Caenorhabditis elegans: one gene and its partners. The protein of the gene in region 1 purifies or fractionates together with the protein of each later gene. This does not show direct contact. Each region holds a gene or a part of one and is shown in the gene's direction. Other genes may lie near its edges.

What was found. The genes of interacting proteins can lie anywhere in the genome.
Region 2: the proteins of patr-1 (region 1) and Y48C3A.20 fractionate together in Caenorhabditis elegans (co-fractionation; one large-scale study listed by BioGRID). This does not show direct contact.
Region 3: the proteins of patr-1 (region 1) and K09E3.7 fractionate together in Caenorhabditis elegans (co-fractionation; one large-scale study listed by BioGRID). This does not show direct contact.

What each region holds. Positions count from the first base shown.
Region 1 is NC_003280.10:11,773,452-11,780,777, reverse strand, and holds patr-1 (Protein PAT1 homolog 1), read left to right. Parts: upstream 1-2,834; 5' UTR 2,835-2,857; coding exon 2,858-2,918; intron 2,919-2,965; coding exon 2,966-3,108; intron 3,109-3,159; coding exon 3,160-3,321; intron 3,322-3,364; coding exon 3,365-3,556; intron 3,557-3,603; coding exon 3,604-4,188; intron 4,189-4,240; coding exon 4,241-4,519; intron 4,520-4,566; coding exon 4,567-5,066; intron 5,067-5,117; coding exon 5,118-5,451; intron 5,452-5,499; coding exon 5,500-5,745; 3' UTR 5,746-6,114; downstream 6,115-7,326. Other genes in the region: dna-2 (DNA replication ATP-dependent helicase/nuclease DNA2), read right to left, coding at 1-115, 164-879, 935-1,399, 1,458-1,715, 1,765-1,907, 1,958-2,065, 2,131-2,202, 2,252-2,330; F44E5.1 (ATP synthase subunit e, mitochondrial), read left to right, coding at 6,219-6,377, 6,427-6,504; F44E5.15 (N-acetyltransferase domain-containing protein), read right to left, coding at 6,739-6,838, 6,886-6,962, 7,044-7,129, 7,177-7,326. UniProt on the Caenorhabditis elegans protein: RNA-binding protein involved in deadenylation-dependent decapping of mRNAs, leading to the degradation of mRNAs. Acts as a scaffold protein that connects deadenylation and decapping machinery.
Region 2 is NC_003280.10:13,366,955-13,376,067, forward strand, and holds the start of Y48C3A.20 (tRNA pseudouridine(55) synthase), read left to right. Parts: upstream 1-2,652; coding exon 2,653-2,796; intron 2,797-2,843; coding exon 2,844-2,938; intron 2,939-3,000; coding exon 3,001-3,103; intron 3,104-3,587; coding exon 3,588-3,811; intron 3,812-4,979; coding exon 4,980-5,139; intron 5,140-6,645; coding exon 6,646-6,931; intron 6,932-7,755; coding exon 7,756-8,153; 3' UTR 8,154-9,113.
Region 3 is NC_003284.9:17,130,387-17,137,196, reverse strand, and holds K09E3.7 (BZIP domain-containing protein), read left to right. Parts: upstream 1-2,665; 5' UTR 2,666-2,704; coding exon 2,705-2,761; intron 2,762-2,810; coding exon 2,811-3,494; intron 3,495-3,685; coding exon 3,686-4,228; intron 4,229-4,278; coding exon 4,279-4,632; intron 4,633-4,678; coding exon 4,679-5,032; intron 5,033-5,078; coding exon 5,079-5,432; intron 5,433-5,478; coding exon 5,479-5,712; 3' UTR 5,713-5,849; downstream 5,850-6,810. Other genes in the region: cnp-3 (Calcineurin-interacting protein 3), read left to right, coding at 30-638, 692-913.

The sequences.
Region 1 (7,326 bases):
ATTGTTCAGCTTTGCCTTGATAATGATTTTCTTGATGGCTGGAGTTAAATTAAAACCAGTAGCATCCATTATGATTGGAGGAAGCAGGTCGACGAGTATATTTCTTAGTCGTTTTCTGGAAAAAAGATAATGAAATTAATAAATCAATAAATTTTTTAAATACCCAATTTCATCATTTTGCAATAAATAAACCAGGTTTCCGAGTGTCGTGGAATGAGTGCTCATACTTGTGTATTTATCCAGATGGAACGGAGCTTCATAGCGAGATTTTATAGTTTTATCGGTGGAAATTTTGACAATTTGTTGATCATCTGATACTTCATCAATCAACGCGAATCCAATAGCAATATGCTTCTTATTCGACAACAGACAGACATCTCCCGGGCGGAATGTAGGGGTATTTGAAGATTTCAAAAATTTCCGCGAGAAACTGATGATAATCTTCTGCGAATTGGACATTTCCTCGGAGACAGGATGCAGGTCAGACAGGCATGTTCCTTCTTCGACTCTTTCTTGAACACTTTTGAGCCAGAGATCCTTGTTCTGAGAAGTCATTCGCTCTCGTTCGCACTTCCATTCTGCTGAAATCCAGCGGATCCAATTTGCAGCGTATTCTATGTGATTCTGCTCCAGATGAGCCATCTCATTCTCGGCGAAATTCTTCATTTTATCGTTGGATTTCGAGAAGTTCTCCTCGGTTTTTTGATAGAATGAGCACATCGTCTTGTGATCACATTTGTCGCAAAATCTGCTGTCTTGACGTGGATCTGGAAGATTTGATGTAGTCGGATCCTCAAAGTGTACTGAAAGCTTGTTCCGTTGCTGTAGAACGCCTAGAAGATCTGCAGCCCGCGGGGTTACACAATGGGAGGCGCCGTCCTGAAAATTGTTTTATTTATATTTTCCATAAGTTTATAGGTTAAAAAAAGCTAACTTTAAGGTATAGAATATTTCCGGGTCCAATAGGCTGCTCGTATCGAGACGACTGCATCATACAGTAGAGTAGAACCTGACCAGTGTGCTCACTGGAGCAACTGCTCTTGCCAGTTTTCAACTCCAAAGATTCCATTCCTCCCCTCGACTTTGTTCGCATCGTCACATCGATCTTCCCCTTCAAACCAAGCTTTGAATCCCATATATTCTCCTCAATATCGTACACCTCGAGAAGCTCCGATTTTGACGGCAGAGGCTCGCGTTTCGAGAAGAAGCTGTTAGAAAGTGGATAATGTTTATTGATCCAGCCACAGATTATCGAAAAGTAAGGCTGTAGCTCGGCGTCCAGACAGCTTGGAGTAAAGGAGAGCGCCACAAGCTCTTCGGCATACTTTGGAGCCTGCTTGTTCCAAATTTTCATCAAATCGTTTTCCATTACAGGTCGCTTTTTGCTCGTGATTGCTGTCTGAAAGAAAAAAAATTGAAATGTTTTTTATTTTTATTTTTCAGTCCGCCTTACAAACCTGGAATATCTCGTGCATAATGGTTCCGAGAAGCATTGCTTTGTTCGAGGCATTTCCAAACTTAAACTTGTCGTTTAGCACCGTTTTTCGAGCACAAAATGTGGCTGAAGCGACGGCTGTGCACGGGACAAGTGCGTCTGGATTTAAGATCACGATTCCGACGTCATCGTTGACAAGGAAATCACGATCTCCCCATGCTTGAGCTCCGATCAGGTTAATCGTGGATCCTGCTTCAATGCTCATTTCCGACCAATGATCCTATAAAATAAATTTTATTTAAAATTCAAGATTATATTTCTACAAAAACCTGTAAATAGACTATCCTAGTCGTCCCTTCTTTGTCTATACACTCCAAATCTAGACAATCGTCTCTTTTTTCACCTTTTCGAGCTGTTAGATGTATCACATTTTTATCGTCGAAGAGGCATGGGAATCCAGAAACTCCGCTATCTGAAAAATAAATCAATAAATGCAAAATCAAAAAATTTTAATGAATTAACCTTTCGGTAAAGCCGGAGGTTTTGAACTAATGACTGGTGCATCGAACGAATCGTCATCGTCGCATTCTTGAAGTTGTATCCTTTCACTTCTCGACCTCGGGCTGATTTCTGAAAAAAAATTTGAGGTTTTTTCTGTTGTTTAGAAATAAAAAAAAATATTCTTGAAAACTCACTTTCTTTTGGAGAGGAAGCTGTCGGACAGAAGTTCTCGAACGAGTCAACGCTGTCTCCATCATGCTCGGTTCCTGAACCAAACCTTGAATATTATAAAATATTCCAATATCTTCACAATACCCTTGAATTCCTCTTTTAGACGTTTCGGCTCGTGTGATTCTGAATTGACATTTTGGAGCTGTCTTTTGCGAGACTCCATCCCCAAGAGATCTGAAAAAAGTCTTATTTAGTGACAATTGTACGCTTTTTTTTGAAAATCTATTAGAAACGTTTATTTATAACAAAAAAAACCAATCAAAAACAGGAAAAAGATTTCCGAAATCGTGAAAAAGCTTTTGTTTTTTGAAGCACGCGCGCTCTAACTCTGCGCTCTCTCTAAAATGCACACTCTCTCTTTTGTTTAAAGGCACAGAGGGGTCTCCACTGCAGTGGTCTCGCATGGAACAGCGATTCTGGCTGCGAAATACGAGGCAACGGGCGGGCGGGCAGCAGACATTTTCCAGCTGAAATCGATCGTTTTTCGTCGTTTTTCTTGAAATTTGCGGAACAAAATGTTGTCGGAATCAATTTTAACAGTATAAATACAATTTTTCTTCTATCAAATGCGAAAATTTGCTAAAAATGAGCCATAAATCTTGTTTTTCTGTTTCTTCAATGTTTTCCTTGATATCTCTGTAGAATCTGTTTCAATGTGTATATTCAGATTCTAAACTCGGACTGCCGGGTATGGAAGAAGTAAAAAAGTATGGGAAAACTCTCGAAGAGATCGAAGGAGGGTTGATGTTCGGTGAGAGCTAAACTATTGATCAAAAATCTATTGATTATTTGTTGCAGATGACTTTCCCGAATCTCTGGTGGATAGTGACGAGGATCACAACATTTTCGACGACGAGTTTGATGCAGCCAACGATGAAACATTCGGTGGAGGCTTGGACAATATCGGCGAAAATGCTGAGCTCGAGAACTATGCGACACAGGTATATACTTTTGAAAAATAATCAATTGGAATCATATTATTTAAATTTCAGACTGCGAAGTTGAGGTTCGATGATCCTGTCTGGCAAAAACCCTCATCTTCGGATCACGTTGCTCCAAGCGCCTCTGAAATTCCGATTCCTTTTCCAAATTTTGGAAATGGTGATGCCAGCGACTCGTTTAAATCAAGCTTTGAAGCAGAATCACCGTTTTTGGTTTGTTTAAAGTTATTTTATTTTAAATTAGAATATATTTCAGAAAAAATCGATTTGGGGAAACGGGACCGATGGAGCATATAACATTTGGGGTACCAATTTCGGAATTTCTTCAGTACCTGCAGCTCCTACACTGGATCTTGATTTCGGTGCACTTTTACCAACTCCGACGATTCAAGCAACAAAGGAAGTGAAATCATCTCAAATACCTTCTATGCCTAGTTCAGCTTTAACGGTTTGTTTCATAATGTTTGAATCTATCTTCTCATCATCAAATTTAAGCTTGAAGACTGCGAGAGAATGCAGATGGGAAACAAACCGGACTCGTTGGTAGACGCTTTCAAGGATCTGCAACTTGGAAGCACTCCAGTACAACCCCAATCCGCACAATTCTCAAAGCATCCTCTTGAAGCGAGAATTGCTGCTCCTGGTACCCCGGCAACGGCATCAAGCCAAGCTCTTCCCACTCTACCTACCGCAGCTCTTTCATTAGAAGAACTCGAGCTACAAATTATGAAAGAAGCCCAAATTTTGAAAGGCCGACAGCAAGTTCCGTCAGATATGCGAGAAGATAACAAATTCTCACATCCACCTCCGGGATTCAATCAAAATGTTCAACCTCGTATGGATCCGTCGTTGTCTCCAGGTGGTATGCACGGTATGCCTCCATCGATGGGAACATCTATGCCACATATGGGACCAATGATGCCACCACAAAACATGCAGCTGCCGAGACTGCCGCCACTGAATCCACAGTTTCTACCGTTGATTCCTGTATGGTTTAATGCAATCATTAATAACATTCAGTTACCAATGGGGGTTCCACCGCCGCCACCATTTTTGTTTCAACTTTTGAATCATTATCGCGTAAGTATATATGATACTTGGTTCCTTATTTGTAAAAACAATTATTTTACAGAATCCTCAGCTCGTTCACGCTATGATCATGCAGTCTTCGATACCTCCAAATATTAGGCAAAATGGTCCACAATTCAGTCATCCTTCTGGACCTCACAGTCCAGGAAACAGAGTTCAGCGTAAACATTCTGGAATGCCATCTACACGGACAATATATGATCTTGCCCTTGATTCTTTCGCTGGTTACATGTCTTACAAGGAACGTGAATGGCTCATTAGAATCCAATTTATTCAGTGTAAGGGTTCTGGTGATCCGCAAGTCGATGATTATTACTATGTGGTAGGCTTAAATATTCAGAGTGTTTTATTAAAATTAACATTTTAAAGACATGGCGTGATAAGCAAATAGCGAACGGGTGGACTGCCGAAACCAAGTTGGAAGAAGCTACTAAAGAGAAGAAAGAAAAGTCGTCCGAGTCACAGAAGGATTATCTTGAACGTATCAGTCGAATGAATTATCGAGAGATGCAGAAAGAGAGGGCTCGTGAACGTGACAAGGAACGACAAAGAGAACGTCAAGAACGAATTGATCGTGGAGAAGACAAAAAGTTGCGGCAGACACTTTCAGACAAATTTGCAACAAGTTTGGGTTTGCCATCAAAATCTTCTACCCACAACCCGCGCCATGTTCTCGATATGAAGGCTCAAGTAGAAAGCGTGGACAATCAAACAAAGAAGTTGTCGGACGAAGAAAGAAAAATCGCCGTTGCGAAGAAACTTCGTACGATGCTTCTACGTTTAGAAGGAGCATTGAACATTCTGATGGAGGTTGATGAGCTTCGACGATCATCGCTGCCTGAAAAGTCGCAGTTTAAAGACTTGAGCAGGTGTGTATATACTGTTTCTGAATATTTTTTTGTAAAATCTTATTATTTCAGCGATGAGAAAGACCAAGAAGTTGAGAAGCGTACGACAGTTATCATCAACGAATTAATGGGGGATGACTTGTCTAAACTCATGCAAATGTCCAAAGGAAGAGCAGTTATTACGAGAACTCTTAAAGTTGTTGAACCAAGAGACCAAGCAAGAATTATTCTTGCATTGATGACGGCTGGTGGACTTGTGAGCAAGAAGATGTATGGAGAGATCGTTCTGGACATTCTCCCAGTTGTTTATCAGAAAGTCTCAAATCTTCATCCCGACCAATTCAAGTATCTTGTTGGAGCTCTTAACTTGGATACTCTCAAGAGGCAACTTTTGGATAGTAACATGGTAACGATAATTTTTAGAAATTAATTAATTTTTTATTTTTGTTTTCAGTTCATCAGGGACATGATGATGACGTTGTTCTTTGTCAGTGTCAAGAATAATCAACAATTGGTGGAGTGGGCCAAAGCTACGAAGTTCTCCAGCTTAAAAATGCCTTCAAGTGCTCCACTCAGTATCTGGAGAAAGGCTCTCAGCGTCATTAGCGACAGCGAGATCAAAGAATTTGCCGATGATATCAAGTACTCAGGAATTGTCGATTGCCATGATGTCGCTCAACTAATCGAGCAATCACTCTAATTTATTTTAAACATCCTAACCAGAGAGATGACCTTATTGTGACATTTTCCTCTCAACCCCTAATTTTTTGCATTTCCCAAAATTGAACTCACCCCCAATGATCCCCCATACGGCCCTACTGAATCATTCCGTCCGTTTAGTATCACATTATCACTTTGTCTGTGAAACTTGATGTTGGTTCTTGTCACATGCTAACTTATCCCAAGCTCGATATTCGATATCATTATATATTGCGTAATATACGTGTCTAATATTCTCTCCTAATATTACTTTATTTAATATTGTATTAGGTAAAAAACATATATTGTAATCCCACCTCACAATTCTTATTTTGCCAAAGAAATATTCATAAATATTATTATTTATTCATTTATTTTAATGATGTCTTTGTCGAGTAATCGGTTTTCTTTCCGGTATTATTTTCTAAATTCTGTTCTCAATGTCAAAAATTGTTTCCAATCATTCCGTTTTAGATGGCAGACACCGTTCGTGGAATTTGGCAATCAATCGTCCAAACCAAGAGACTCTACCTCAACCCACACGAGCATTTCGGACGTGCCAACATCTGCCGTGCCGCCCTCTTGAGCTACGTTGGGATGTACTACATGTTCAAGTGGAACCAGAACAGAAAGGTAAAGCGTTTCCCTATTGTTATTCTCAAAAAAAATTGTTCATTTTCAGGCCGAAATTGCCCGCGCCGAGAGAAAAGCTGCCAAGGCCATCGCCAACGTCGCTGCTGCCGCCCCAGCTCATCACTAATTCAGTCGGATGCACCTAGATTTGGTTTAATTTTCTTTTATTGGACAATAGTTTTGTCCAGATTTGTCGGTTTATGTAATGCTATGTTCTTTTGAATAAACTACCCGATTCGAAAACGTTCGGCAAAATTATACAATATTCTGTGGATAAAATAAGGCAACTAGTTTATATTCAGGTTTTTCAGAAATTCTAGGATGTTCTGTTGAGAAATTGGAAAAAAAAAAATAATTTCACTTAGTGAGAAAATAATTTCCGAGTTTCAGGATCTTTAAACAATTCAACCATACTTTTGCTCACACGCTTAATATCGTCCTTCTTCATCTGATCATATGCTCTGAAATTTAAAAGTTAGTAAAAGGTGTCAAATGACAAATCCCGTACTTTCTGATGCAGAATGATCCATACTGACATTTATCTTTGTTATTCCAGATATTCGATAAACCAAGGAAGGAACCTTCCTGAAAAAAAGATGGCGATGAATTTAGGGTTCCGGTGAAAGTTCCAAGTTTAAGACATTTTTGTTATGGAAACTCGCTTACTATTTTATTGGTGAGGTCGTGTTTAGAGAGGGCCTTGATCATTGCAGCCTCTTTTATTTGTGCTACCGTACTCGACACGCCAACAACTAAATAATTAAGTTTGTAATCAGATTTCAACATTTCGAAAACAAACATATTTTTACGCATCCAATTTCTTGACCTGAGTTCCATATGCTAACGATGCTTCCACATTTTGAATCTATATAAGGATCATTTTCCTTCTGAAGTGCTTCTATGAAATGATGTAAAGATCGAAAGCCTGTTCCTTTTCCAACATAAAATA
Region 2 (9,113 bases), 1.6 Mb from region 1:
TTTTTAAATAAAAAAAACCATTTTTTTTTCATGTTATTTTTTTCCGTTTTTTTTTCGTTTTAACATGTTTTTTAAAAAATTCTCAAATTAAAAAAATCATTATTTTTTCGTTTTTTTCTTTTTCTTTTTTTTCTTTTTTTTCCATTTATTTGCTTCATTTCGTTTTTAAACATTTTTTTTTTAATTTTTTAACTTCAAAGAAATTTTTTTTTTCATTTTTCAAAATTTAGCACTTTTTCAGCACTAATTCATATTTCAATGTATTATAACTTTTCTGAAAAACCTAGTTGGTGAATTTTCTGAAATTCTCTCAAAACATTGAAATTTTTTTTTTAAATCTCCTCACAAGGAAAAAAAACAAAAGGAAAAATTGTAGTGAACTTCAACTGAGAACTCCAAAAAATTGTAAAGTTTTTCAAATTACAAAAAAAAACCAGACTCCAAAAAATGCCAAAAAAATGCCAAGTGAAGAGCACAGCTGAAAACAATGTGAGCATATGAAAAAGCTGAGGAGAAACCTAATATCTTGAATAACAAATACCCAAAAATAACAAGTTTCTCATTGGAAAGTTGGGCATGTTTTTGATATTATTCAATTAATTTAATGAGGTTACCAAGTGTTGAAAATACGTTATTTGCGTGGTGGGAAAGTGTAGCGGAACTTGAATTGAGCACTAGATTTATTTCCGTTTTGTCAGAAAAATGTAAATGTTTTTGCTTACCTGCCCCCTACCTATCTGCCTGCCTACCTACCTACCTACCTACCCACCTACCTACCTACCTACCTACATACCTACCTGCCTGCCTGCCTACCTGCCTACCTACATACCTACCTATTTACGTGCTTTCGTGTTGTTTTTCCTCAAAACATAGTTTTTTCATCCGTTTCTCGGTATTGTTTCTGTAGCAAACACAATCTGGAATATTATTATTTTGGAGCTGAAAATATACAAATATTTTCAGCCTTAAAAACCTTATCACCTAGTGGTTTTTGATCAGCTTACGATTTAAAATAGCCCGGAAACGAGGTGGTGGGGGTGGAAACGGAAATTAAATATTGTTGGTTATGAAATTTGAATTGAGCAAAAAGGAAACGTTGATGATTCGTATGTATTTTATTTTAAAATTTTAGAATTAGGGAGGTTTCCAGAAAATTAAATTGGCGATATATAAGTTGTCCAATTTTAATATCTTGTTATTATACAAATTGTTGTATTTTTACCATTTCAGTGGCAATTCTGATAGCTTTTTCTCTAAGTTGACTGTTTTTGGACCATGTATTTTGAACATATCAGAATGATGAAATATCGATCTCAAATGCTCGGAGAGAATAAGAATGACTGGCAACACTGGTACCGACTGAACACATTGAACACCAGGGACGTACAAACTGTTTTTAAAAATCAGAATTTATTAAACCATTTAAGAGAATGCAATACATGAAAAATAATTAACAGATTGAAAACAAAAGTAAACATTAATATTAGTTGATATAAGTAGGAAGTGTTGAACGAACTGCAACGTATCCCGCCATCATTCTTTCAAATAAACTGAATTCAACCATTCGTGTGGTTCCATGAATGTTTTGAATTATAAAAGCTGGTTCACCATTTTCTAATACAATTTTCTCAGATAAATCTTTCATGATTGAGGATGGGTTCGAGTGCGGCGATTGACTTTCAAACTTATAGACCAGGAAGTTTAACCCTGGATTCCATCCATTTTTCCAGTGTTTGATTATTAAAGTCAAATCTTTTTCAGACAAAATTGTTTTCCCGCATTTAAGTGAAGGGTTATCCATTACTAGCAAATCATTTAGTGTTACAGGAATGTATACAAAAAGACGAAGAACGCTTTGAAGTCCAACTAAATTTTGTCTTGTTACATTTGTTTCGTCCTCAGACCACAATGATACATTCTCCACGTGAGGCAGTTTCTCAAGTAATTCATTGATCCTAGTTGCTCCGTCAATTGTTACCTCTTCAACTTTCAATCCATCAAAGTTTGTTTGCGTGAACTTTAGAAAGTGAGTTGCAATGTAACGGCAATATCAACCATATGAACTGTTGATATTTTCAGCAACTGCATCAAATGATCTATCAATCCTCGCGTGCCAAATATTTTTGATATTTTCCATTCACATGTTGGAACTCTTCGACTACCGTCAAACGTTCCGAATTCGAGATGAAATGTGCCATCGTCCATAATGTGGCATGAAATCGAATGACGATATCGCCGTCTATACAAGAATTCAACAGTAGCTGTGCGGGAAAACTCGATTGAAAATTGACCTCTCCATGGACCCCTCTCTATAGAGACTAATTAATTAGTTGAACATTAATTATGATTTTCGGAGAATTGCGAATTTATGAATTATATTTTTCCATATAAATATTTTCCAAATTGCAAAAAATGTTTCATTGTGGATCAATTTGAATTCGCAACTGAACGAAACAGTGTGGCAATTGAAGAGACGGCAGACATTTCTGTGCATACACCGTGACGCGCAAATGCACACATCTCGAATTTATTGTGTTTTCCTCTTTGTTCGAGTTTTTTTTTCTTTTTTCTCATTATAATCCTCAAAATGCTCGGTTTTTCTCGATTTTTTTTTGTTTTTTCAATAAATTTACTTAATTTTCAACATTTCAGATGTCAAATGACAAAACTCCGCTAGTTTTGTGCGAAGTTTGCGTGCGACAAATCTCTGGAGACGCGGAGGAAGTGACAAAATGCGAAAATTCTTTCGAATGTCAGCTTTGCTTCGGGATTATGGATCAGGCAATGATTGATGAGGTTATAACTCACGATTTTTATACAAAATATCCATAAAAATGCTTCAGGTCGGCGAAAAAGTGCAAGAAGAGCTCTCCAAGCTGCCCTACGACTCGATGAGCTTCATTTTGGCGTTGAATTTGCCCGTTGGACAGACTTTAAGGTGATTTTAGAATCATTGTTGATTTTCCGCCGCCAAAAACTCGAAATTTAAATTTTTGACAGGGAGATTCTAGTAAGCCGTCTCCGACCGGATTTCAATGGGACACTGGCTTCTGTTCCGTATAAAGTGCGAAATATTGATGGATATTTGAAGAAATTGGGCTCTGTAAGCTTAAATTACCTAAAAACGACTTTTCCACGAAAAAAATCCATTTTTTTTTGTTAAATTCGGAGTTTCCAACGTTTTATACCCTCAAAAATCAATAAAAACTTGGAAAATGTTGAAAAATTGCTTCAAACTCCAATTTCTACCTTCAAAACTTAAATTTTGAAATACTGAAGCCATTTTTCTAGGAAAAAATATGAAAAATCGCATTTTTGGAATTTTTCTACTTGAAATTCCAAATTTATCGTAGAAAAATGCATTTTTGAGCAAAAAAAAATCCGTTTTTAGCTAAATTTTACACATTTTTTGCACTTTTGAGCAGAATAATAGTATTTTTTGAAATATTTTCAAATTTTTTACAGTTTTTCAGAATTTTATGCCCTGAAAATCAATAAAAAGTTGGAAAATGTCGAAAACTGCCTTAAAAATTGCCAAAAACTCCAATTTTAGAGTTTTTTGAGTCAAAAATTAATAAAATTTGCAGTATTCCGGAAAACGACCAACTCTGAGCTCAGATCTCCAGCTTATGATCACTTTTGAGCAGGAGGAATCGAATTTTTCGGATCTACAATTTCTTCAAAATCAATTTCCGAACGATTTTCGTGTTGGAAAACGTGGAAGATATAATAATAATCAAGAAGCGCCGTCGAGTGTATCAAAACAGCAATTACAGCAGGTCACTGGCAGGATTAACGAGCAAATTGCAAAGTAATAGCGGTGGAAACCGACGAGAAAATAGGAAATTTTGCACAAAAAATGGGTTTAATAAGTTGGAAAATGTCAAAAACCCTCGATTTTGGACCAAATTTCAGCTTAAAAATTGAATTTTGAAGCTATTTTTCCACAATTTGTCTGAAAAATAGCTCAAAACTTGAATTTTAAAAGTTTTTAGCTATTTTTTCGGCGAAAAAACGATGAAAATTCCAAAAAAAAACTCTTTGTTCGTTATTTTTAACGGAAAATTTCAAATTTATCGTTGAAAACCCCACATAAAAATCCTTTTTTCACTGAATTTTACAATTTTTGAACAAGAAAAACTATTTTTTTAAACAAAAAAAAAAACCAATTTTTTTCGCTAAATTCGGAGTTTCCAACGTTTTATACCCTCAAAAGTCAATAAAAACTTGGAAAATGTTGAAAAATTGTTGCTTCAAACTCCAATTTCTACCTTCAAAACTTACATTTTGAAATACTGAAGCCATTTTTCCAAGAAAAAATATAATTTCTAACGGAAATTCCAAATTTATCGTGGAAAAACCCCACATTTTAACTAGAAAAATGCATTTTTGAGCGGAAATCAATATTTTCAAATTTTAAACAATTTTTCCTTTTTTTTCTCCGAATTTTCACAATTTCAGGCAAAAACCTGTCAAATATTGCAGTTTTTCAGAATTTTATGCCCTGAAAATCAATAAAAAGTTGGAAAATGAATCGAAAACTGCCTTAAAAATTGCCAAAAACTCCAATTTTTGCCGATTTTCGACCGAATTTTCAGCCCAAAAAGCCTATTTTCTCTAGAAAATTTCATATTTAACGTTAAGGGCCCATTTTAGAGCGAAAAATAGAAAATTTAAGACAATTTTTACATGAAATTTCCGAATTTTTTGCGAAAATTCCAAAATTTATCAACAAAAAATCCAAAAAATCCGATTTTTTTGTTGAAAAATCGGAATTTTCCCGCAATTTTTTCACGATTTCGACCTAATAAAATTCTCCAAATTTCCGCAATTTTCCCCAAAAAATCTGAATTTCAGCTAAAAATTGTGTGAATTTGAAAATTTTCACGTCAAAAAATCTGAATTTTCACGACGATTTCGACCTAAAATTCACCAAATTTCACCAATTTTCCCCAAAAAAATCCATATTTTCTCTACAGAAAGTACATCTTCAAATCGCCAACCCGTAAATGCACATTTCAACTTCAATTCGAACGAGATCCAGTATACATTGCTGGAAGATATTGTAAATATTCAAGATGTCTACCACAATCACCGTGGAGTGAGGATAAAGATGCTCCGAGAGAGCCCGGAAATTCGGTTCGATTTTTGAGTGGAAAATTGATGGAAAATTGATGGAAAATTGATGGAAAATTGATGGAAAATTGAAGAAAATTCCACTTGAAACTTGAAAAATCTGGAATTTAAATTTTGAAAAAAATCTAGAAATAACCTTCAAAAATCGGAAAATTCATAAAATTCCGGTGAAATTTCTTCAAAAAAAGCTGAAAATTCAGCGTAATCAACTAATTTTCGAGCCTTTAGAACTAAAAAAAATCGACAAAATCTCATTTGATTTTTCCCGGATTTTTTTAAAATGAAATTACCCAAAAAATGCGAGTTTTTCAACAAATTTTCGACTGTTTAATGAAATTTTGCTCTGAAAATGCAATTTTTGAAGTTTTTTTTTGTTTAATTTTAAAAAATCTATAAAAACCTTTTTTCTGGAGCTTTTGAAATAAAAAATCAACATAAATTTAATGAAAAAATCTAGAAAACATCAAAATTTTTACCCAAAATCCACGGAAATCTCTAAAAAATTTAGAATTTTCATGTTTTTCGGCCAAAATTAGACACATTTTCGACAATTTCCAGGCGAAAAATTGAAGAAAACCCAGTTATCCTGCCAAATTTCCGGGACAATTTTTTGGAAAAATCAAAAAATTCCAATTTTTTATCTGCATTTTCAGATTTGTAATGGAATTTTCTAAAGAAATATTTCTGCTTTTTCTGAATTTACTACAAAAATTTCATTTTCCCCTAATTTTCTGGGAAAAATGCAGATTTTTTTTTGAATTTTCTGGCCTTTTGGAAAAAAAAATTCGGAAATTTCAGTTTTTTTCGAATAAAAAATCTAGAAATGTGAATTTTTTTTGCAAAATAAAGTTAAGATTTTTTTGACTAAAAAAAAAATTAAATTCTGATGTTCTGACCCCTCAAAAATCTAAAAAAAATTTGAGTTTTCAAGTTTTCTGAGCAAAATTTCAAGAAAATTTCCAAGAAAAAAAAAAAAAAAAACCCCTAATTTCTGCAAAAATTCGGTGAAATATTTCTAGAATATTCTATAAATTTAAAAAAATTGAATTTTTCTTTTTTAAAAATTTTTCTATAAAAGTTCCAAAAAAATCGGTTTTTTTTTAGTTTTTAGGGAATTTATAAAATTTATTTCGAAATTTTTCAAAAATTCCAAGTAAAATACCAATTTTTTTTGGAAGAAATCGAAATTTTACCAAAAAAATCATTTCTTACCAAAAAAAAAAGTTTTTAAAAAAACTAAATTTTTTGACGAAAAATCGAAATTTTCAGGAAAATCGAATGTTTTACCGGAAACTACAGTTTTGCCTAAAAACTATCGATTATTTCAAGAAAAATGTCAATTTTACTGAAAAAATCGCGATAATCCGGAAAAATTTTCACATTTATATGAAAAATGGGGAGTTCTACCAACAAAAAAAATCAAAATTTTACAAAAAAAAAATCGAAAAAATTGAAATTTTGAGTTTTTCCCCTAAAAAATCAAAAATTTTTAATTCGAAATTTTTGCAGGTTTCCGAAAAAGTGTGTGACCTCCTGAAAAAGCAATTCGGAGCCAGTGATAGTCGATTCGTGACGTCAGGACGTGAGGATATTGACGTCAGAATGCTCGGAACCGGCCGCCCATTTGTCGTTGAGCTCCGAAATTGTAGAACGACGGCTCCAGTGAGAGGAATCAAGTATTTGGAGACACTGAAGACGGTTCAGGAGGCTATAAATGTACAGAAGGATGTGAAAGTCGTGTCGCTGACCAGAGTTCCACGGGATGTTTCTGAGAAGCTGTGTGTTGGAGAAGAAGGTGCATGCACAATTTTATGGAAACAGAAAATGGAATTTGGAGCAATTTGAACTGAAAATTTGCTGAAAATATTATTTTTTCAGCAAAAAAATCAAGAAAAATCGGCAATTTGTACCAAAAAGTCGGAGAAATTGAACGATTTTCTGGAAAACTAGAAAAAAAACTAAGAAAATCCGAAAATTTGGAGCATTTCGGACTAAAAAAAATAGCTGAAAACAGGGATTTTTCGGCAAAAAAATCAAGAAAAACCGACAATTTGTACCCAAAAAATCGGAGGAAATTGCACTTTTTTTTTTTTGGAAAACTAGCAAAAAAAACCAAAAAAATCCGACAATTTGGAGCATTTGGGCCTAAAAATTACCTGAAAATACGATTTTTCAACAAAAAAAACCAGAAAAATCGGCAATTTGTACCAAAAAGGTCGGAGAAAATTGAACTAGTAAAAACTAGGAAAAAACCAAGAAAATCCGACAATTTAACGCATTTTGGACAAAAAAAAATAGCTGAAAACAGGGATTTTTCGGCAAAAAATTCAAGAAAAACCGACAATTTGTACCCAAAAAAGTCGGAGAAATTGAACGATTTTCTGGAAAACAAGAAAAAAAAAACTAAGAAAATCCGAAAATTTGGAGCATTTTGGACTGGAAAATTGCCGAAAATACGGATTGTACCCAAAATTTGCAGATATTTATGAAATTTTCTGTAAAAAAAAAATCCAAATTTTCAGCAAAAATATCAATTTTACAAAAAAAATTAGAGTTTTACCAAAAAAATGGAGAAAAAAAATCCTTTAAAATAATGCCTAATCTCAAAATTTTTTGCAGACAAACGAAAGCAATATTGTGCCTACTGCTACAGTATTCTCCCAATTTCTGACTCCCAATTCACCGCTGCTCAATCGAAAATCCCGCTGAAAATTGTTCAAAAGACGCCAGTTCGTGTGATGAAGCGTCGAGCTCTACTCGACAGAGAACGATGGATTTATTCGATGAATTTCTTAAAATTGGACGATCACCACTTTGAAGTTCGTCTCGAGACCCAAGCAGGAACATATATCAAGGAATTTGTTCACGGAGATTTTGGAAGGACGAGGCCTTCGCTTGCCGAGCTCCTTGACGTTGAGCACGGAGAAGTTGATATTTTGGAGCTGGATGTGGAGAAAGTTGATTTGGAATGGCCACCGGAGCTTAAGGATGGACAGGAGCCCGTTAAATTTCGATAGAAAATATTGAAATTGAAAATTTCGCACAGAAATTTTGAATTTTTGAGAAAAATGTTTGAAAGGGCAAAAAAAAAAAAATTTTCCTGATAATTCAAAAAAAATCTGAAAATTCAGAAAAATTTGGTTTTTATAGGATTTTTCAATTTTCAAATTTTTTTTGGATTTTTTCCAGAAAAGTTATGAAAAATCTAGATTTTTTCGGTTTTTTTAAATAAAAATTAGCTCAAAAACTTCATTTTTAACGCATTTTTCTTCTAAAAAATTCAGCGAAAAAATCTGAAATTTCCTAGTAATTTTACAGAAAAAATATGAATTTTTCACAGAAAATTCCGAAAGATTAGATATTTTTCTAGAAAAATTGGAAAAAAAATTCGCACAAAAAATTCAGTTTTAACGCATTTTTCTTCTAAAAATTCAAAGAAAAAATACGAAATTTCCTATTAATTTTACCAAAAAACTTGAATTTTTAAAGAAAATTCCGAAAAATCTGATTTTTGTTTGAAATTGAGCAAGCCATTTTTCTTTCCAAAATTTGAAAAAAAAACGCTCGAAATTCCTAATTTCTCACCAAAATTTCTCGTTTTTTCTTCTCAATTTCCCAAAAAATCCTATTTCTGACTAGAATCGCCGGCGTTTTTCGGTTTTTAAGCTTGAAAAATGTGCAAAAATCCATTTTTTCGGAACAAAATTTCACTTTTTCGGCATTTTTTGGTCCAAAAATTCGCAATTTTGAAGCAATTTTTTGATGGAAATCCTGTGAAACCCCGGATTTTTTCGGTGAAAATTGCGGTATTTTACGAATTTTCGCGAAAAAAAATGGTGAAATACGTGAAATTCTGAACTTTTTGTGGCAGATTTTTGAGTTAAAATTGCAAAATTTGGTGGTTTTTCCTAAATTTTTCTATAAAATTTCCAAATAAAATCGACTTTTTTTGAAATTTAATTCAAAATTCGTCATTT
Region 3 (6,810 bases), on another chromosome or scaffold:
AGAACTTTCTAAAAAATTTGTACTTTCAGATATGGAACAACATCTTAGCTGTCTACCACCAGATTTTCACCATGTTCTGTAAATATCCAGAATATGCAGACAAGGAAAAAATGGAAAGAATTGTGGAATATTTTGCTCCAGTTTCGAGAACACCAGGGCACCTATCTGTTGTCTGGAATCCAATGCCAAATGTTGTCAAGTCTCCACGGTCAGAAGAAATTCCAGAAATCAAAGTCGAATATGAAGAAGTTCCATCGTCATCTACCTTCTTATCTAACAACGAAACAACAATCGCAAGTGACATGGATATGTCGATTGATCGACCGCAAAGTATGGACATGTCGCAAACGCTTTCTCCAGAGCAAACGCTTTCTCCTAGAGAGAAGCTTCAAGTGCAAGATAGAAAGATCTCAACGACTCAAGAAACTCCTCCGGCGCTGCCATCACCATCCGGAACACTCACACTCCCAACAGTTCCAGCTTCGACATTAAAACGTAAAGAATTTGGTGACTTGTTGGCCTGTCCAACCGGCAAACGTGTAACTATTGATGAACCCAATCGAGCAGAGCGCACTGAGACAATTATGCCATCTAGACAAATGATGTACCCAATGGTGAATTACCAAGCACTTCCAATGGTAAGTTTTTTTTGAGAAAATGTTCGTCCATTTCAAAAACTTCTATATTTCAGCCACCACAATCAATTCCATCAATGATTCCCCCATTCATCCCTACGATTCCTTCGACGAGCACAATGCCTCCAATGATGCCGTATCCAAATGTTCTACTCACTGCTGCTCCGGGAGACGTTGCCCCAATCGATTCACTCACCCCATCATTTTTGAGAGCATTAGAGCAGCAAAAACTAATGGCAGCATTTTTAAATCACGCTTTTCAAAAATGTCAGAAGTAATTAAATTATTAAATGAACATTCATTGTTCTAACGCAATCTTAATAAAAACCGTATGCTTTCACAATTAGTTCAGGGTACTGTAGGACTGTCAACTGATAATTTTATAATCAATTTGTTTCTAGGGACTTACTCATTTAAATAATCGATTCATATATTGACTATCAACATTACCGGGCTCAGAAAATTTGAATTTTCTATGTTTTCTTTGTTTTCTACTTTATTGATTCTGTTCTGTTTTCACTTAACTCACATTTGAATTTCACAAATAAAAAGTTCAACAACGGAGTGTTCTTAAGGACACAGTTTATAAAAACGCGTGATTCCCCTCAACACTTTTATCTATTTCTGATGCTACAGTCGTCTTTGGTTTTTGGAGAATTGCCAGCAAGTCTAGAACATGTGGAATGGGGGAATAACTGACTTTTTGAACATGGAGTAGTGCAAAAATTAGCAGTGAAAACTTGCTTACCGTATACTATTTTAAATGAAAACGCATTGAAGAAATTTAAAATATAAATTTTATACGGTCATCGTAATTACAGATTAATGAACGGTGTTTTCTCACTTTTCACAAAAACCTGTTAGTCTTCTATAGGGAGTGGAAGTTTTTTTATTTTCCTCTCAATAGGGAATACCGTATGCTGTGAAAAGAAATATAGAATGAGTGATCCATTTTCTGAACGCTTATCAATTGGAAATTCCGAATTTTAAATAAAATGTTGCTCAATTTACTTTCGAGACAATTATTCTTGAATTAAAACTATATTTTGCGGAATAAAGTTGGCTTTGAAGTTACCTATCTTTGTGAAATTTAATTTTAGATAGGTCAAACTGTTTAATCGGACGAAATAATCACCAATGTATTTTTTACATTTTCCAGTTAGTGACGGTTCAGTAAAGCTCATTTCCACGGGATCGGAAAGTTTCAGAAACAACGCCTTTTTGCAAACATTAGCTTTTAAACATAAGTGTCTCAAAACTAAATTGGGCAGGTTTTTTTTCACAAACGCATCTAGAAAAATATCATTTCATATCTCTGGACACTAAAATTTTTTATCAGACAAGAGAAGGATTTACGGAGAACACTTCACTGCAAAAAATGTGAACTTTTGTTTCATCTCGTTTAATTTTAATCTGAAAATTTCCTGTGTGTTTTGCCATGCGTGTGAGGTCTTTAAAAATACCTTAAAACTGTTTTTTTTATGATTCTAATGGCTTGTGCGGATCAGTAAAATCTGAAAGTATTTTGGAGTTATTTTGGGAAGAGGTTTAGCTCCTGTCCTGAGCAACAAAGGAGATCTTTGACCAAATTACTGCCGTCAACTTTTTTGCCTACCTCTTATTTTCAGTTGCCGTCCTTTCCGCCCTGTCCATAAGACAGTGCCCTCCGCACACCGCGGTAAAATAATTTAATATCGCGCGCTACGCCTCCCGTTTCCTCACACTCTCTCGCTTATCCCATTGCAATTCTAGAAGACTGTTGTTGTTGACAGCGGCGGTGTTTCGCGCATTCTATGGTCCATGCCATTTCACGCGTTTGACAGTGATTTTATTGTCTTTATAACTGCGTTCGGTGAGTGAGAATATGCTTCCGTTCTTGCAAATCATTTTGAAACTTTTTGTTGGGCTCTTGTTCTATAATATTTTGATATGATGCTATTCGAATGTTTTTTTTTGAAGTGCGATTGTTCTTGCCGCATAATTAATTCTTTGTTTTTTACTTCAAATTGTTGACCAACACAACAAACGAATTTCAGTTTTAATATTCAAACTTGGAAAGTGAATAGCAAATGGATCTCTTATCCGTGAGAAATTCTGAACCTGACAATGAAAGTTATCATTTATTGGTTAGTTTGTTTTCTTTAAGCTTCTGAATTGTCAAACTATCATTTTCAGAATATGAAAGGTTTGGCAGAAAAAGTTAAAAAGATCGACATATCTATCTTTGACCGCAGGAGCTTGTTAAAGCGTGTAAAACATAGATCTTGTCATAAAAGAGCCGAGCCAGAGTCCGAAGAAAACCGCAAAAAGAGGTACAGGAAGGACTGCAAAGAGTATAGAGAAAGGAATCGTGAATATGCCACTTTCCAAAAACTATTCTTCAAAATAACAGCGATTGAACGGAGATTCAAGCAATTTATCGAGGAGATGTCCGTGGAAACAGTGGAAGTGAATATTAGATCCATGATCAAAGAGTGTGAAGACATTTGTTCCAAGTACACAAATATCGATGCGCCTCACAAAATTCATTGTGAAATTCCACATGTTGATGATTTTTTGGCATGTTTCCAAGAAAAAGGCCAAGCCGCCATGCTCGTCGACCACCATACAGAGCCTTCCAATTTTTACGCCCAAAATCTGCTTAAACTACGCGAGCAATATCACAAGCTCACAAGCCAAAAGGACAATATGAATTCTTCAAAGGAAAAAACCCGTTATGCATCGTCAAAGCTCGAGTTGAATCGCAGAATTGTACGGGAGCAATTGAAAAGTGATTGCTGGGTATGTTGGCAGAGCATTAATACAATGATGGTCCAAGGAGAACAGCTTCAGGAGTACATCAACGAACGGAAGAAATATGTAAGTTAAAACATGAATTAGGACAACTATGTAGAGCATATGTTGCTAAGTTTTCGCAAAAATTGACCCCAACACTTTATAGCAAATTTTTGGTAAAAGATTAGGTTTTCTACCTTATTTTATTTTCAAAACAATGATAAACTTTTACATTCCTCAAATAAAACTGCAACAGAAGCGTGTTATTTTTTCAGATTTGGAACAAAATCGTAGCAATCCATCACCTGCTTTTCATCACCTTTTCTCAACACGCAGCAGATGCAGACAAGGAAAAAATGAAAAGAATTGTGGTATACTTCGCGCCCGACTCACAAATACCACGTCTACTTTCTGCTGCCTGGATTTCGTTGTTGAAAAGTGCCGATTTTCCTTGGACAGAAGATATTCCAGAAATCGAGTTAGATTGTGAAGACACTTCCTTGTCGTTTTCCTTCTTAACTAACAGAAAAACAACTATCGCAAGTGAGATGGATGCATCGATTGATCGACCGCAAAGTGTGGACATGTTAACAACTTGTTCGCCAGAGTTCAAAGAAAAACTTCAAGTAGAGGATGTGAAGGCTCTCACTACTCATGCAACACCTACCGCCTTGCCGTCTCCATATATCACACTGACACGTCAAACAGTTCCAGCTTCAACTCTAGATCAAAAAGGAACAAATGATACCTTCAACTCTTCAAACAGAAAGCGTGCGGGATTCTCTATTGATGAACTTCTGCGACCAGATTCCACAATAGTAAATTTTTTGAAAAAAAAAACTATCGATTTGGAAAACTCTTTTTTTAGCCCACACAATCAACTCCATCAACAATACCGGCTTTCATTTCTACAACTCCTTTGGCGAGCACAGTGCCTCCAACAATGTCGTTCCCAAGTATTCCACACATTGCTACTTTGGGAAACGTTGCTCCAATCAATTCACTTACTTCGTCATTGAGAGCAATAGATCACCAAAGAGAAATTCCTGCCTCAACTTTAAAACGGAGATCCGTTTCTGATAGGATGAACGGATTGCCATGCAAGCGTAGAAATCTTCCAAATAGTGTGCCAATGTCATCACATGTAAATGGCTCCACCATGGAAGCTAAACCATTATTGTTTCCTGGTTGGAATTTACACCCAGCTATGGCACCTTCATTTGTTAGTTTAACAAGCAAGTTTTCCATAACTGAAATAGTCTTTTCAGCCCACACAATCAACTCCATCAACAATTCCATCATTCATCCCTACAATTCCTTCAACTACCCTAGTGCCTCGAATAATGTCGTTCCCAAATATCCACGGCACTATTTCTCCTGGAAACAATGCCCCAATCAATTCACGCGTTTCATCTTTGAGAGCAATGGAGCAGCAAAGAACAGTTTCTGCCTCCACTTTGAAACAGGAAGCCGTTTTTGAAATGGTGAACGGATTGTCATATCAGCGTGGAAATCTTACGAGCAATGGACCAATTCCCACACAATTCCGTGGCTCTAACATGGAAGCTAAACAGTCACGGTTCCCTGTTTGGAATCAACATCCTGCGATGCCACTCTCCTTAGTGAGTTGAACAAACATGTTGACCCTAACTGAAATAATCTTTTCAGCCCACACAATCAACTCCACCAACGATCCCAGCATTCATCCCTACGATTCCTTCAACGAGCTCAATGCCTGGAATAATTTCGTTCCCAAATACTCGACACACTATTGCTCCGGGAGACGTTGCTCCAGCCAATTCACTCACTTTGTTTTTGAGAGCAATAGAGCAGCAAAGAACCGTTCCTGCCTCAACTTTAAAACGGGAAGCCTGTTTTGATAGGGTGGACGGTTTGTCATACAAGCGTGGAAATTTTACGATCAATGGACCACTGCCCACACAACTTCGTGGCTCTAACATGGAAGCTAAACAGTCACGGTTCCCTGTTTGGAATCAGCATCCAACTATGCCACTCTCCTTTGTGAGTTGAACAAATATGTTGTCCATAACTAATATCAATTTTTCAGACACCACAACCTGTTCCATCAATGATTCCACCAGTGATCACACCGAATCCTTCAATGATCTCGAGGAGCACAATGCCTCTAATTATGTCGTATCCAAACATTCTACCCACTGCTGCTCCAGGAGCCATTGCTCAAATCAATTCACCAACCCCATCAACTTTGGGGCATATCGAAAACCATCAACTCATGGCAGCGTTTTTGAATAATGTTTCTCAAGCGTGTCAGAAGTATTAGAAGTATTATCAGAATAATTTATTTCAAATGTGTATTGGATTTTTATTGTTGAAAAGTAGTTTTATCTCAATTTTTAAATAATTAGCTTTAGATTAATTAGTTCCCACTCGAATTTCACAAATAAACATGTTCTTGTCAGCTCCATGTTGTCTACTCGCAATCTACTCGCTTTTTTGGAATATGCAGATGAATTTAGCAAAAATTGTGTGGATATCAAGTCTTATCAGCTTCGAAGAAAATTGATAACTCCAGCTTTTTCTGCTCACTTTCATAATACATATGAAAGATATACATATGAAGATTTAAAGAATTTGCAACAAGTCTGGAGAAATAAAAGTTGGAGAAATAGTAAGGCTGTGAGAACTTGCTCGCTTTCATCTGTTTAAGTTTTGTGCTCAATTTCAAAACATTTAAAAACATGAAAATGATTTATATTGTACTTTTTCCAGTCTTGCATGAAGAACTTATTCCAGGTTCATTTGTGTTAGAAAGCAGTGTGAGAGCAATAAAAATTATATTTATGGAAAACAATACCGAATTAATTTTGAGAAATTCGAGGAAATTTGTATCTAAAAATTAGGATTTCATGCTTTACTAAAAGAGGAAATACAGTGCTACATCCTCATAAACCAACTCATTAAAAATGTCCATAATCCTAACCTTCTTTTATAAATTATTACTTGCTTAACAAAATCTACGAGAGTTTTTTCAATTTTCTGAATGATTTATTAATGAAATATTTTTGAATAATAGAAATAATACAAAATCGAGCGTTTTGCCAGTAAATGTTTAGTTTTTCATAATACAAAAACAGTTACTCAGACAAACCAAAGCATAGAAACATCCTGATCGCAACTGTTGTGGCCGTGAGAACAATAGAAGCTAGTCAAAACCACGATTTATTGATGAGGTTAAAAAGATGCACTTCCGCTGGACCACTTCTCAACACTCTCCTCATCAGTTTAGATTTAAGGAATCCGGAGAAACTCTCTCGGTTCGTCAACTCCGGTCCTCCTAGAACTTTGTTGACTCCGAACAATTCCTTTCAAATTGTCTACTCCGGTCTTTTCCGATCTTCACTGACACTACTACACTCCT